2 linked regions of the Saccharomyces cerevisiae S288C genome follow. The gene in region 1 interacts genetically with each later gene. Each region holds a gene or a part of one and is shown on either strand. Other genes may lie near its edges.

What was found. A genetic interaction does not mean that the proteins touch.
Region 2: mutations in XRS2 (region 1) and SEN1 are lethal when combined (synthetic lethality), as found in Saccharomyces cerevisiae (2 studies listed by BioGRID, with this or other methods).

What each region holds. Positions count from the first base shown.
Region 1 is NC_001136.10:1,214,158-1,219,201, forward strand, and holds XRS2 (Xrs2p), read right to left. Parts: upstream 3,424-5,044; coding exon 859-3,423; downstream 1-858. Other genes in the region: trifunctional aldehyde reductase/carbonyl reductase (NADPH)/glucose 1-dehydrogenase (NADP(+)) YPR1, read left to right, coding at 1-685; DXO1 (Dxo1p), read right to left, coding at 3,625-4,953. UniProt on the Saccharomyces cerevisiae protein: Component of the MRN complex, which plays a central role in double-strand break (DSB) repair, DNA recombination, maintenance of telomere integrity and meiosis.
Region 2 is NC_001144.5:991,411-999,747, forward strand, and holds the start of SEN1 (DNA/RNA helicase SEN1), read left to right. Parts: upstream 1-2,023; coding exon 2,024-8,337. Other genes in the region: CRN1 (coronin), read left to right, coding at 1-1,322. UniProt on the Saccharomyces cerevisiae protein: ATP-dependent 5'->3' DNA/RNA helicase required for the expression and maturation of diverse classes of non-protein-coding RNAs like precursor tRNAs, rRNAs and small nuclear (snRNA) and nucleolar (snoRNA) RNAs.

The DNA.
Region 1 (5,044 bases):
GGAACAACGTGATCCGGAAGCTGCTCTAAACAAGTCTTTGAAAAGACTAGGCTTGGATTATGTTGACCTATATCTGATGCATTGGCCAGTGCCTTTGAAAACCGACAGAGTTACTGATGGTAACGTTCTGTGCATTCCAACATTAGAAGATGGCACTGTTGACATCGATACTAAGGAATGGAATTTTATCAAGACGTGGGAGTTGATGCAAGAGTTGCCAAAGACGGGCAAAACTAAAGCCGTTGGTGTCTCTAATTTTTCTATTAACAACATTAAAGAATTATTAGAATCTCCAAATAACAAGGTGGTACCAGCTACTAATCAAATTGAAATTCATCCATTGCTACCACAAGACGAATTGATTGCCTTTTGTAAGGAAAAGGGTATTGTTGTTGAAGCCTACTCACCATTTGGGAGTGCTAATGCTCCTTTACTAAAAGAGCAAGCAATTATTGATATGGCTAAAAAGCACGGCGTTGAGCCAGCACAGCTTATTATCAGTTGGAGTATTCAAAGAGGCTACGTTGTTCTGGCCAAATCGGTTAATCCTGAAAGAATTGTATCCAATTTTAAGATTTTCACTCTGCCTGAGGATGATTTCAAGACTATTAGTAACCTATCCAAAGTGCATGGTACAAAGAGAGTCGTTGATATGAAGTGGGGATCCTTCCCAATTTTCCAATGAGCGCGCTACATTACAGTTAATGCCTCCAGCAACCTGTAGTGCTTCTTTAAACCGATCCGATACAGCTGAAACAAACATTGATTTTACTAATTTTCATATAATATATACACATATATCGAATGATAATGCAAAATATAATTTAATGAAATTGGAAATACTCGGAAAATTTATCATTATCCTTTTCTTCTTTTGAACGTAAACTTCGGACCGTCGTCATCGTCGTCGTCGCCATCACCGTTATTAGAAGCCCCAAAAGAGCCACGTGATCTACTAGTTGCGCTTCTACTGTGTCTACTTTGCTTGGAACATTCTTCTGACAAGTTTGGCCGTAAGTTCATTTCCTTCACCACAAAAAGATTACGATTATTTTCTCTGTGATTTAGTCTATCGCTTTTATCATCAATATCACCCAGATCATCTTCATCAGTAATAAAAATTTTGTTTTTTAGTGGTTGAACGCTGGCTGCAGTACCTGAACAACGAGAAAAAGAAAACGAATCTTCTTCTCCTTCATTTGAACTATCCTCATTCGTGAATCTGTTTAGAGCTTGAGATCTTTTCTGGATAGTGTTTGAGTTTATATTATCGGACATAAATGTATTCGATCCAAATCTTTCCATCTCCGTCAAAGCAAACATATCTTCGTTTTCTTCTGTGCCCCATTTTGTAGTTGTATCCTTTTTGGAGTATTTTTTTAACGGAACATAATTTCTAGTGATTAAAAAGGCTGCATTTCGTATAAAATCTGAGCTTTGAGTGTTATTTTTACCCTCTTCTTTGTGCGCCTTTGATTTTGGACGTACCTTGACAAAAGTCTTGAAATTCTTGCGTTTATGCCATTCTGGCTCCATTAGGCTATTTTCCCATTTTTCAGTTGTTCTGCTTGTTTTGTTTCCCTCACTATCAAATGATTTCCTCAGTAAATTGTTACTAGGTTCTACAATAGCCAAATTTTTTAGCTGATTAATAGCTTCCTCGCTCAACTCCTCATCCTTCAATTCAACAATGGTTGACTTAACTCTTTTGACCTCTCTATTTTTAGTTTCTTGAATAGCTTCAACAAATGCGTGCGGCGTACCAGATTTCTCTTTAATAGATAACTCTTTTACAGGTGACTTACAATTTTCTTGTAATGGAGATGAAATTTCTCGTGAATAATTAGAAAGTTTACGGATGTTTTTAGAGGGTTGCTCTATATTCTGGTGATGATTCACCCTAAAATTCTTAGTAACTTCAGCATCATCCATCGAATTCACAGCAGCTGTTTCATAGTCAGCGGAGTTCGAAGATATGGTTTGAGAGCCAATCCCTGCTACCTCCGGCAATGACGGCTGTGGTAACTTATGTGACTGTAGCGACTTATCCAACGAATCCTCACTCGTGTTCACAGTACCTAAGTTGGGGCTACTGACAATTATAGCACCAGGGCTACTGTGACCACTTTTCTTTCCAATATCTTCAGTCGGCTTTAGTGCGTTTTGAAGAAATGGGGCGTGCTTTTCATCTGCCTCTGCAATGTTGGGACTTGAAATGACAGTCTTTGATTCTGCGCCACAATTAAGTCTCTTAGCGTCAGTTAAAGACCTATTTTCTGATAGAGTCTTAGTACTCAAACCTCCAGCAAAAAAATCAAGACTATCGAGTGGTAGTACTCTACGTCTATTTAATTTTCGCTTCTTCGAGACTACTGGACTAGCTTCAACTTCAGGTGCACGAGATGTTTTCAAAATAGTAGACATTCCTTCAGAAATTTGATCAAATTTACCGTTATCTAGAGTTCTTGAAGATGCACCCTTCATATTAATCACTGCGCTTAAGGTGCCATCTATTATTGATGTTAACATCGTTTTGATAGTACATAGAATTTTCCCATTTTCTTTCTTATCTGTAGTTGTCAAAATCAGGTATTCTGTTGATGCTTCCAAGCTGTCAACATATTTATATAAACTATCAATGTTGTCAAATGCAAATAAATTTATATTGAACGTCCGCAGGAGAGATGATAGACGTGGTTCACTTTTGATAGTAGTTAACACTCTGATATTATTCAGCCTCATAAACTTCGAAAGCAAAATATTTGGATCAAAATCAAAAACATTGTACTCCGGATTACTAATCATATCGTTCCACATTTCATCAAATTTTAAATTAGTTTTAGATGTGGGAAGAAGAGTATTACACAATTCCATCAGAAACCGTGATTTTTTCATGGGTATAGTACTAACAAGGGCATACAATTCCCGTATGCTGTTGTCCTCGCTCTTTGGGTAATCGCTAATCATCAGATTAGCGGGAATATCATTAATAGAAATCTCAGTGGAGATACCATATTCAGAAAGCATCGTCCTGAATTGTGTCAAATGAGGAGGAATGTTCCAGACTTCATTTATCCATTCGAACTCTATACGAATAGGAGTTGTACCCAGTTCAATTATTGTGGACTTTAAAACGTCCGAGGCATTAATAGTAAATGTTTCGCCAACTTTCATGAATTTTTTATTTAATGATGTCAATTTACCCTTGTTAACTAAACACAGGCTACTGTGTTTCAGATCCGAACTATTATTGATTTCCCATTTGAATGTGATATGCTGTCTGGAAATACTTTTATCATTTTTAATTATCAGTGGGTTTTTACTTGATCTACCTATACTATAAGTTTTGAAGGCCTGAAGACAACATGATATAAAGCTAATAGAGCCATCTTCCAATGTATTCTGGTATCGTACTACCCACATAAATTTATAGTTATCACCTTCTCAGTATTGTTGCTCATCTATTACAAAATTCTGCTTATTTGGTTTACGCATTGCTTTTCATAGAAAAAAAGGGCTCCCCATATAAATTTAAGAAAAGTACTAATATTTAGCGTAGTTAACAACTTTACGAAAATGAAAATGAAATATTTCTCGGAAAAGTATTATATATTATACACGTCTCTACATTCCAAATAATTCTACGTTTCTTGGAGTAGTCTTAAGTTTAGTGATGACGATGGCGTTGTTAGTATCTATACCGATTTCAAATGATTCTGGTTTTGTACTGCTATAGTCAGAGATATTTGCCTCCACCAGCTTACAAATTGCTTCAATACAATAATGACACCATTCTACCGCAATTTGGGCATTATAGTTAAGTTCCTTTTTATTTGTAGGTAGACCTGGGTGATTGAATTTCTTACATAATAAGTCCCTTGAGTACCATTGAATGTCTAGTAATTGACCGCTATGACTGTCCCTCAAACCTATCATGATATCTGAGTTCGGTAATAAACCCGTCTGTACCCACGTTTTCAGAAGTTTTCTCCTATGATTGGAATTGTGCATTGATAATGGGGCAAAACACTTTAGTTCTGTGTTTGTCTCCGAAACAGGATTGAATGCATCCATTTCGCAGCGAATTAAAAGACCAATTTCTTCTGAAAGTTTACTCTCTACAAGAGAAAAAATAGGACATTTAGAGCCAGTTAAATCAGCGACTTTGGAATTTTCGGTTACCCAATTTTCAAATTCAAATCCTGAATAGCAAATTTTCTTCATATTTGGATCATTTGAATAAATGCCCTCTTTGGACATTTGAGAATCTTTTTTTACATTTCTGCAAAATGAAAGAAGGCCCGCCCCCATATAAGTTACAATTAGTGACGTTTGTCTATTTCGCCTGTTAAAGAGATGCATAGTCAAATCTACGATATGATGTCTTGTGGTTACAACAGTAAATTTCTTGCCGATCTTAAAATCCTTACCAGGATTATCTAGTATCCAGTTCTCAATGTATGAAAAACACGGTGATACACTATCTAATTCGGATATTGTCATGGGAACGAACTCATCAATATTAGCAAATAAGTCATGGCCTAAATACGGGACTTTCCGCTTTTTTGCCTCAAGAAGCGAGCTTTCATACAATTCAGCAATACTTTCTTTCAAATTTGGTATAAGGTCTTTGCGTAGGATTGTATAAGCCCGGCCATTGGTAAACAGAGCTACTTCTTTACTTTCATGAAATATATCTCTTGGTGGTTTCGTCAAAAAATTGTGCATACCAGTATGCAGAAAAGACGTATATGGGATACATATAAGTTTCGGACGTCTCTTTCTATAATTGTCTCTCTGTTGTGAAGGCTTCCTTGACGAAGATGAATCAGAAGTAGTTTTCTCTTTGCATAATTTACTTTGGTGTCCTCTCTCGAGATTGGGCACAGTAAGCAAATTTATACCTTCTAAATCTTTGGCCAATCCAAGAACAGCATCTTGTTCAGTTGACATAACTGAGTTTGGCTAGAAAGAAAACTTTGACATAAAATCATCGATACCTACAACTGGCGCTGTAATGCAACAATGCCATTATAAAAGTAAA
Region 2 (8,337 bases), on another chromosome or scaffold:
GAGAAGAAAAAATTGTTAGCGAAGGGCCTGCCCATACGGGTGCAAAAAACCAAAGGGTGGTATGGTTAGGAAACTCTGACAGATTGGCTACTACTGGTTTTTCAAAATTGAGTGATCGTCAAATCGGTATTTGGGATGCCTTCAACATTGAAAAGGGAGATTTGGGAGGCTTCTACACTGTCGACCAATCATCAGGTATTTTGATGCCCTTTTATGACGAAGGGAATAAGATTCTTTACTTGGTGGGGAAAGGTGATGGTAATATTCGATACTACGAATTTCAAAACGACGAGCTGTTTGAGTTGTCTGAATTCCAATCCACAGAAGCACAGAGAGGCTTTGCTGTAGCGCCTAAGCGAATGGTGAACGTCAAAGAAAACGAAGTCTTAAAAGGTTTCAAGACTGTCGTTGATCAGCGTATCGAACCGGTATCTTTCTTTGTTCCAAGGAGATCAGAGGAGTTCCAAGAAGATATCTACCCGGATGCACCTTCCAATAAGCCAGCTTTAACTGCTGAAGAGTGGTTTTCTGGCAAGTCTGTTGAAGGTCCAATTCTCGTTAGTATGAGATCTATCTATGACGGTTCCGCACCAAGCTTTCATGAGGCTAAAAGACCTCAACAGCCAACAACTCAAGAAACAGCTCTTGAAGAGAAAAAGGAGCAGCCTAAAGTGGAGAAGCCAATCAGCGAATCCGAAAAGGAGGTGAAACAAGAAGCTCCAAAATCTCCCTCACCGCTAAAGTCGGCCTCCTCATCTTCTACAATCAACCATGTATTAAAGGAAGATAATTCGATCAACAAGTTGTTGAAGAAATCCTCCGATATTGATCAAGTTAACAACGCCGAAGATCCGTCTAGGGATACCTCCGGATGGGAAGAAGCCGATGATGAGCCAGCTCCTATCAAAATCGAAACCCCAGTCACTCCAACAGAAACTAAAAAGGATCGCACACCTAAGGTCGAACCTTCAAAAGAATTGAAGCCAGAGCCAGTGTCTATCGCAACAGATAGAAAACAGGAGCAAAGCTTACCTCAAGAAGAGAAGTCCTCTGAGAAAACAAAGTCCCCTGAGCAGGAAAAATCCGCAACACCTCCTTCTTCAATTACGGCTGCTAAGACAGCCATTACTGCCAGCAGTAAGGAAGAGCCATCCGCGGCAAGGACATCACCTAAGTCATTGGGTTTAAAAAAGTCTGTCGAAAAACTATCTACATTGGTTCTGCAATTAGAAGATGTAGTTGATAAATTAACGAAAGCAAATCTTGACAAAGATGAGCGCCTGTTAAAGTTGGAACAAAAAATTGGCGAACTGTCAAAATGAAAATTTTTTGTACTTTTAATGATAAAATTAAGTGAGTCCTTTTTATAGGAAAGATGTATTTTGATTATATGTAATGTACATAAGACGGCGGCGATAATAATGCACTTAGAAAGTGAATCATGTTCACCTGTCCACTAACAAAAAAGGAAACAAAATGTTGCTTTCCCACAGGAAAAAGAATGTTTTTGACAAAACACTAAGCGTTATGTGACCAATGTATAATTGTCCTCATCATATAGTTTTATGCAAGCATAAATAAGTCTTTCTTTTAGTTAAAACGCGTTACATAGTAAAGGTAACCCTGAATGAATTTTTATTTATATTTTTCTTCGCATATTTTAGGATCTTGAAAAATTAACCACAAGTTAGAAGTTGATGAGATCAGGAATTCTAACAAAAGGTCATTGGTTAGGTTTATTTTGTAGGTGCACGTTTGCAACTTTATTCCTTTTGTTTCAAAGTTATAGAGCTTTCATTTTCTCATTCTTCTCTAGTGTAGGTCATTTCTCCTGCATATTAACCTACTAGAAAAGTTTACGAAGCTTCATAGGAACGAATAATCGATCACTTTAAAGGCTTCCCGCACTTTAATCTTATCATCTACACCTACAAAAAAGCTCTACTTTGTCATTTATTTTCTACTTCATCTCTGTATGGCATCTATCTCTATATATATAAAAAAGCGCATCTGTTTATTATAAATGAATTCCAACAATCCTGATAATAATAATAGCAACAACATTAATAATAATAATAAGGATAAGGATATTGCCCCCAATAGCGATGTTCAGCTAGCTACCGTCTATACCAAGGCAAAGTCTTACATTCCTCAGATTGAACAAGTTTATCAAGGCACAAATCCAAATATTCAAGAGGCAAAATTATTAGGGGAGTTATTACAAGTTCTAGCAGAAGTTCCCAAGGGTACGCATTTATTTTGCGACCCCATACTTGAACCAATATCAATTTTTTCCCTAACCATTTTCTCATTCAATGAAGAAGCTACGGCCACATGGCTGAAGAATCATTTTAATCCAATTCTCTCTGTTTGTGATAAATGCATTCTAAATTTTGCGAGAGGGAAGTGCAAAATGTTACAACATTTTGCCATTCAAAGACATGTGCCGCATGAACATGTAGCCAAGTTTAATGACATCGTATGCCAATGGAGGGTGGAGGCTGTTTTTCCTATTCTTAGAAATATTTCCGTTAACGATAATACGGGAATTAACATTACAAATGAAATTGAAACTGCAATGTACGAGTGTCTCTGTAATCCGCATATGTTGAGGCTTAACAAGCAACTTAAGGCTACTTTCGAAGCAATCTTCAAATTTTTCTACGACACAAAGCATCGTTTGTTGGACGTTACGAATCCATTAAGCATAAAAACCTTTATATCAGGTGTCATATTTTGCTGGTGTGAAGGTTCAAAAGAGGAAAATGAGTGGTCACGAGCTTTTCTAAAGGATTTATACTCAAGAAATTTCCATATAAATCTTTCTAACCTGACACCGGATATTATTGAGGAAGTTTATATCCATATTTTATTCTTACAGAATCCGGCAAACTGGACAGAGATTGTGGTATCTCAATTCTGGTCGAGATTACTACCGGTTTTCAATTTATTTGATAAAGACGTCTTCATAGAGTACTTTCAGGTCCCAAAAAATGTGGAATCTTTAAAAAAAACATTCAAATTTCCGTTAGAGCCAATTTTTAAAATGTGGTACAATCACTTAAGCAAATCATATCATGATAAGCCACTAGACTTTTTGTTAAGAGGATTAACAATGTTCTTGAATAAATTTGGCTCCGAGTTTTGGTCCAAAATTGAACCCTTCACATTCCATAGCATTTTGGATATAATTTTCAATAGAGATTCATTCCCAATCAAACTAATCAAAATTCAAGACAATCCAATTGTTGAGCATCAAACAGAAGTTTACTTTCAACTTACCGGTTCTGTAACCGATTTACTTTCTTGGACCTTACCATTTTATCATGCACTGTCACCATCCAAAAGAATTCAAATGGTTAGAAAGGTCTCAATGGCGTTCCTGCGTATAATAGCCAATTATCCATCCCTAAAATCCATTCCCAAAGCTTGTTTAATGAATTCAGCAACTGCCTTGTTGAGGGCTGTGTTGACTATTAAGGAAAATGAAAGGGCAATGCTTTATAAGAATGATGAATTTGAAACAGTACTGTTGACTAAAACAGATTCTAGAGCTTTGCTCAACAATCCTTTGATCCAAGACATAATAATTAGATCAGCTTCGAATCCTAACGACTTTTATCCTGGGCTAGGTGCTGCTTCTGCATCGGTGGCCACATCCACGATGATGGTATTGGCAGAATGTATCGATTTTGATATACTGTTATTATGTCATCGAACGTTTAAGCTTTATTCAGGTAAACCAATTAGCGAAATTCCAATTTCAACCAACGTCTTGGAAAATGTTACAAATAAAATTGACCTGAGATCTTTTCATGACGGTCCATTGCTGGCCAAACAGCTGCTAGTATCTTTAAAAAATATTAATGGTCTTTTGATAGTACCGTCAAATACTGCCGTAGCTGAGGCACACAACGCATTGAATCAGAAGTTTTTGCTGCTATCAACGAGATTAATGGAAAAATTTGCGGATATTTTGCCCGGTCAACTGTCTAAAATCCTTGCGGATGAAGATGCATCGCAGGGTTTTTGGTCCTGCATATTCTCCTCTGATAAACACTTGTATCAAGCAGCTACTAATATTTTATACAATACATTTGACGTTGAGGGTAGACTGGAAGGTATCTTAGCGATTCTGAATAGTAATTTGACCGTTAACTTGAAGAATATAAACGTGATGCTACAAAGATTAATCAATTGTGAATTCTATGAGCCTTGCCCCCGTGCTGTTCGTGTTTTGATGGACGTAGTGAGTGCATTTGTAGACCCGATTTCTGGTGTGTTTGCTAATTTCCAAACTTTGAAGAGCCAAAATACCGAAAAGGAATTTTTAAAATTCTGGGAATCATGTTGGTTATTCTTGGATACGATTTATAAGTTTACTTTGAAATGGGCTTCTAAATATGACTATTCTGAACTGGAAAATTTCACCAAAGATACTTTAGATCTAAGTCGCTCTTTGGTGGACTCCTTTAGAGAATTTTCAGATATTCTTCATGACCAAACGAAAAATTTACTTCTCAACGTTTTAGAAACCTTTAAGAATATGTTGTATTGGCTGAGATTGAGCGACGAAGTACTTTTGGAATCTTGTGTTAGATTAATTATAAGCACGTCTGATTTAGCACATGAAAAGCATGTGAAAGTGGATGATTCCTTGGTAGAAATGATGGCCAAGTACGCCTCGAAGGCAAAGAGATTTTCAAATAAGTTGACGGAGCAACAGGCGAGTGAGATTCTACAAAAGGCTAAAATATTCAATAAAGCACTCACGGAAGAGGTCGCTACAGAAGCTGAAAACTACAGAAAAGAAAAGGAATTATCAAGACTTGGGAAGGTGATCGACTTAACGGATTCTGTGCCGGCGTCACCATCCCTCTCGCCCTCTCTGTCTTCAACCATTGCTAGTTCTTCTGCTGAATCCAGGGCAGACTATTTACAAAGAAAAGCTTTATCTTCTTCAATAACTGGGAGACCAAGAGTAGCTCAGCCTAAAATAACATCTTTTGGTACGTTCCAATCATCAGCTAATGCTAAACTGCATCGTACAAAACCTGTTAAGCCTTTATCCAAAATGGAATTAGCTAGGATGCAATTATTAAACAACAGAGTTGTTCATCCACCTAGTGCGCCAGCTTTCCATACAAAGAGTAGGGGTTTGTCTAACAAAAACGACGATAGCAGTAGTGAGGAGAGTGACAACGATATAGAAAGCGCTCGGGAGCTTTTTGCTATTGCTAAGGCAAAAGGCAAAGGAATACAAACTGTCGATATTAATGGTAAGGTTGTCAAGAGACAAACTGCGGCTGAATTGGCTAAACAGGAGTTAGAACATATGAGAAAGAGATTAAATGTTGATATGAACCCTCTATATGAAATCATATTGCAATGGGATTACACCAGAAATAGTGAATATCCTGATGATGAGCCTATTGGTAATTATTCTGACGTAAAGGATTTCTTCAACTCTCCTGCTGACTACCAAAAAGTCATGAAGCCTTTACTACTTCTAGAATCTTGGCAAGGTCTATGTTCTTCACGTGATAGAGAGGACTATAAACCTTTCAGTATTATTGTAGGAAATCGAACTGCTGTGTCAGATTTCTATGATGTGTATGCCTCTGTCGCTAAACAAGTCATACAGGATTGTGGTATTTCTGAATCTGACTTAATTGTAATGGCTTATTTACCCGATTTTCGACCAGACAAAAGGTTGTCCAGTGATGATTTCAAGAAAGCACAACATACATGTTTAGCAAAGGTGAGAACATTGAAAAATACCAAAGGTGGTAATGTTGATGTCACATTACGAATTCATAGAAATCATTCTTTCAGTAAATTTTTGACACTAAGATCAGAGATATATTGTGTGAAGGTTATGCAAATGACGACTATTGAAAGAGAGTATTCAACACTGGAAGGGCTGGAATACTATGACTTAGTTGGCCAAATTCTACAGGCTAAACCATCGCCTCCCGTAAATGTGGATGCGGCAGAAATTGAAACAGTTAAGAAAAGCTATAAGCTCAATACGTCGCAGGCTGAGGCCATCGTTAATTCGGTATCTAAAGAAGGTTTTTCTTTAATTCAGGGTCCACCTGGTACGGGTAAAACAAAGACTATACTGGGTATTATTGGTTACTTTTTGTCTACAAAGAATGCCTCATCTTCAAATGTCATCAAAGTGCCACTAGAAAAGAACTCATCGAATACTGAACAACTGTTAAAAAAGCAAAAAATTCTAATCTGTGCCCCCAGTAATGCCGCTGTGGACGAAATCTGCCTCAGACTGAAGAGTGGAGTGTATGACAAGCAGGGGCATCAATTTAAACCTCAATTGGTCCGTGTAGGTAGGTCAGACGTTGTAAACGTTGCAATTAAGGACCTTACTTTAGAAGAACTTGTGGATAAAAGGATAGGTGAAAGGAATTACGAAATCAGAACAGATCCGGAACTAGAACGTAAATTTAATAATGCTGTGACTAAAAGAAGAGAATTGAGAGGAAAATTAGACTCTGAGAGTGGTAATCCAGAAAGTCCAATGTCAACCGAAGATATCAGTAAATTACAACTTAAGATTAGGGAGCTAAGTAAAATAATCAATGAACTTGGCCGTGATAGGGACGAAATGCGTGAGAAGAATTCCGTAAATTATAGGAATAGGGATTTGGATAGAAGGAATGCACAGGCCCATATCTTGGCGGTTAGTGACATCATATGTTCGACTTTATCTGGTTCAGCCCATGATGTACTCGCAACAATGGGTATTAAATTTGATACGGTCATTATAGATGAAGCATGTCAATGTACCGAACTTTCTTCAATTATTCCTCTCAGGTATGGAGGGAAGCGTTGTATTATGGTTGGTGATCCTAACCAACTACCACCAACTGTTCTTTCAGGTGCAGCAAGCAATTTTAAATACAATCAGTCACTGTTCGTTAGAATGGAGAAAAATAGCTCCCCATACTTGCTGGATGTTCAATACCGTATGCATCCTTCCATCAGTAAATTCCCCTCTTCTGAATTTTATCAGGGACGACTAAAAGACGGCCCTGGTATGGATATCTTGAACAAAAGACCCTGGCACCAGCTTGAGCCATTAGCTCCCTACAAATTTTTTGACATCATTAGTGGTAGGCAAGAACAAAATGCGAAGACTATGTCTTATACAAATATGGAGGAAATACGTGTTGCCATTGAGTTAGTTGACTACCTTTTCAGAAAATTCGATAATAAAATTGATTTCACGGGAAAAATCGGTATAATTTCACCTTATAGAGAGCAAATGCAAAAAATGCGTAAAGAGTTTGCCCGCTATTTTGGAGGCATGATCAACAAATCAATCGATTTCAATACAATCGACGGTTTCCAAGGTCAAGAAAAAGAAATCATCTTGATATCGTGTGTCCGTGCCGATGATACGAAATCTAGTGTCGGTTTTTTAAAGGACTTTCGTCGTATGAATGTGGCTCTGACTAGAGCCAAGACAAGTATTTGGGTTTTGGGACATCAAAGGTCTCTGGCTAAAAGCAAGTTATGGAGAGATTTGATTGAAGATGCAAAAGATAGAAGTTGTCTTGCATATGCTTGCTCGGGTTTCCTGGATCCCAGAAATAATAGAGCTCAAAGTATTTTAAGAAAGTTCAATGTACCCGTACCATCAGAGCAAGAAGATGATTATAAGCTACCCATGGAATATATTACGCAAGGCCCCGATGAGGTAAAATCCAATAAGGACACAAAGAAGAGAAGAGTTGTCGATGAAGGTGAAGAGGCAGATAAAGCTGTAAAGAAAAAGAAGAAAGAGAAGAAGAAGGAAAAGAAAAAGTCCAAGGCAGATGATAAGAAAAAGAATAACAAGAAGGCAGAATCGCCCAGCACCTCATCTGGTACAAAGAAAAAGTCATCCATTTTTGGTGGAATGAGTGTACCGAGTGCCGTAGTTCCTAAAACTTTTCCTGATGTGGACAGCAACAAAAAGGCAGCAGCAGTTGTTGGTAAAAAGAAAAATAACAAACACGTTTGTTTTTCGGATGATGTTAGTTTCATACCAAGAAATGACGAACCTGAAATTAAAGTGACCAGAAGTTTATCCTCTGTATTGAAGGAAAAGCAGTTAGGTTTGAAGGAGACGAGAACAATTTCTCCGCCTGAAATCAGTAATAATGAGGATGATGATGACGAAGATGATTATACGCCGTCAATCTCCGATTCTTCATTAATGAAAAGTGAAGCAAATGGTCGTAACAACAGGGTGGCTTCTCATAACCAAAATTTCAGCGCTAGTATATACGACGATCCACAAGTTTCGCAAGCAAAGCAGACGCAGGTACC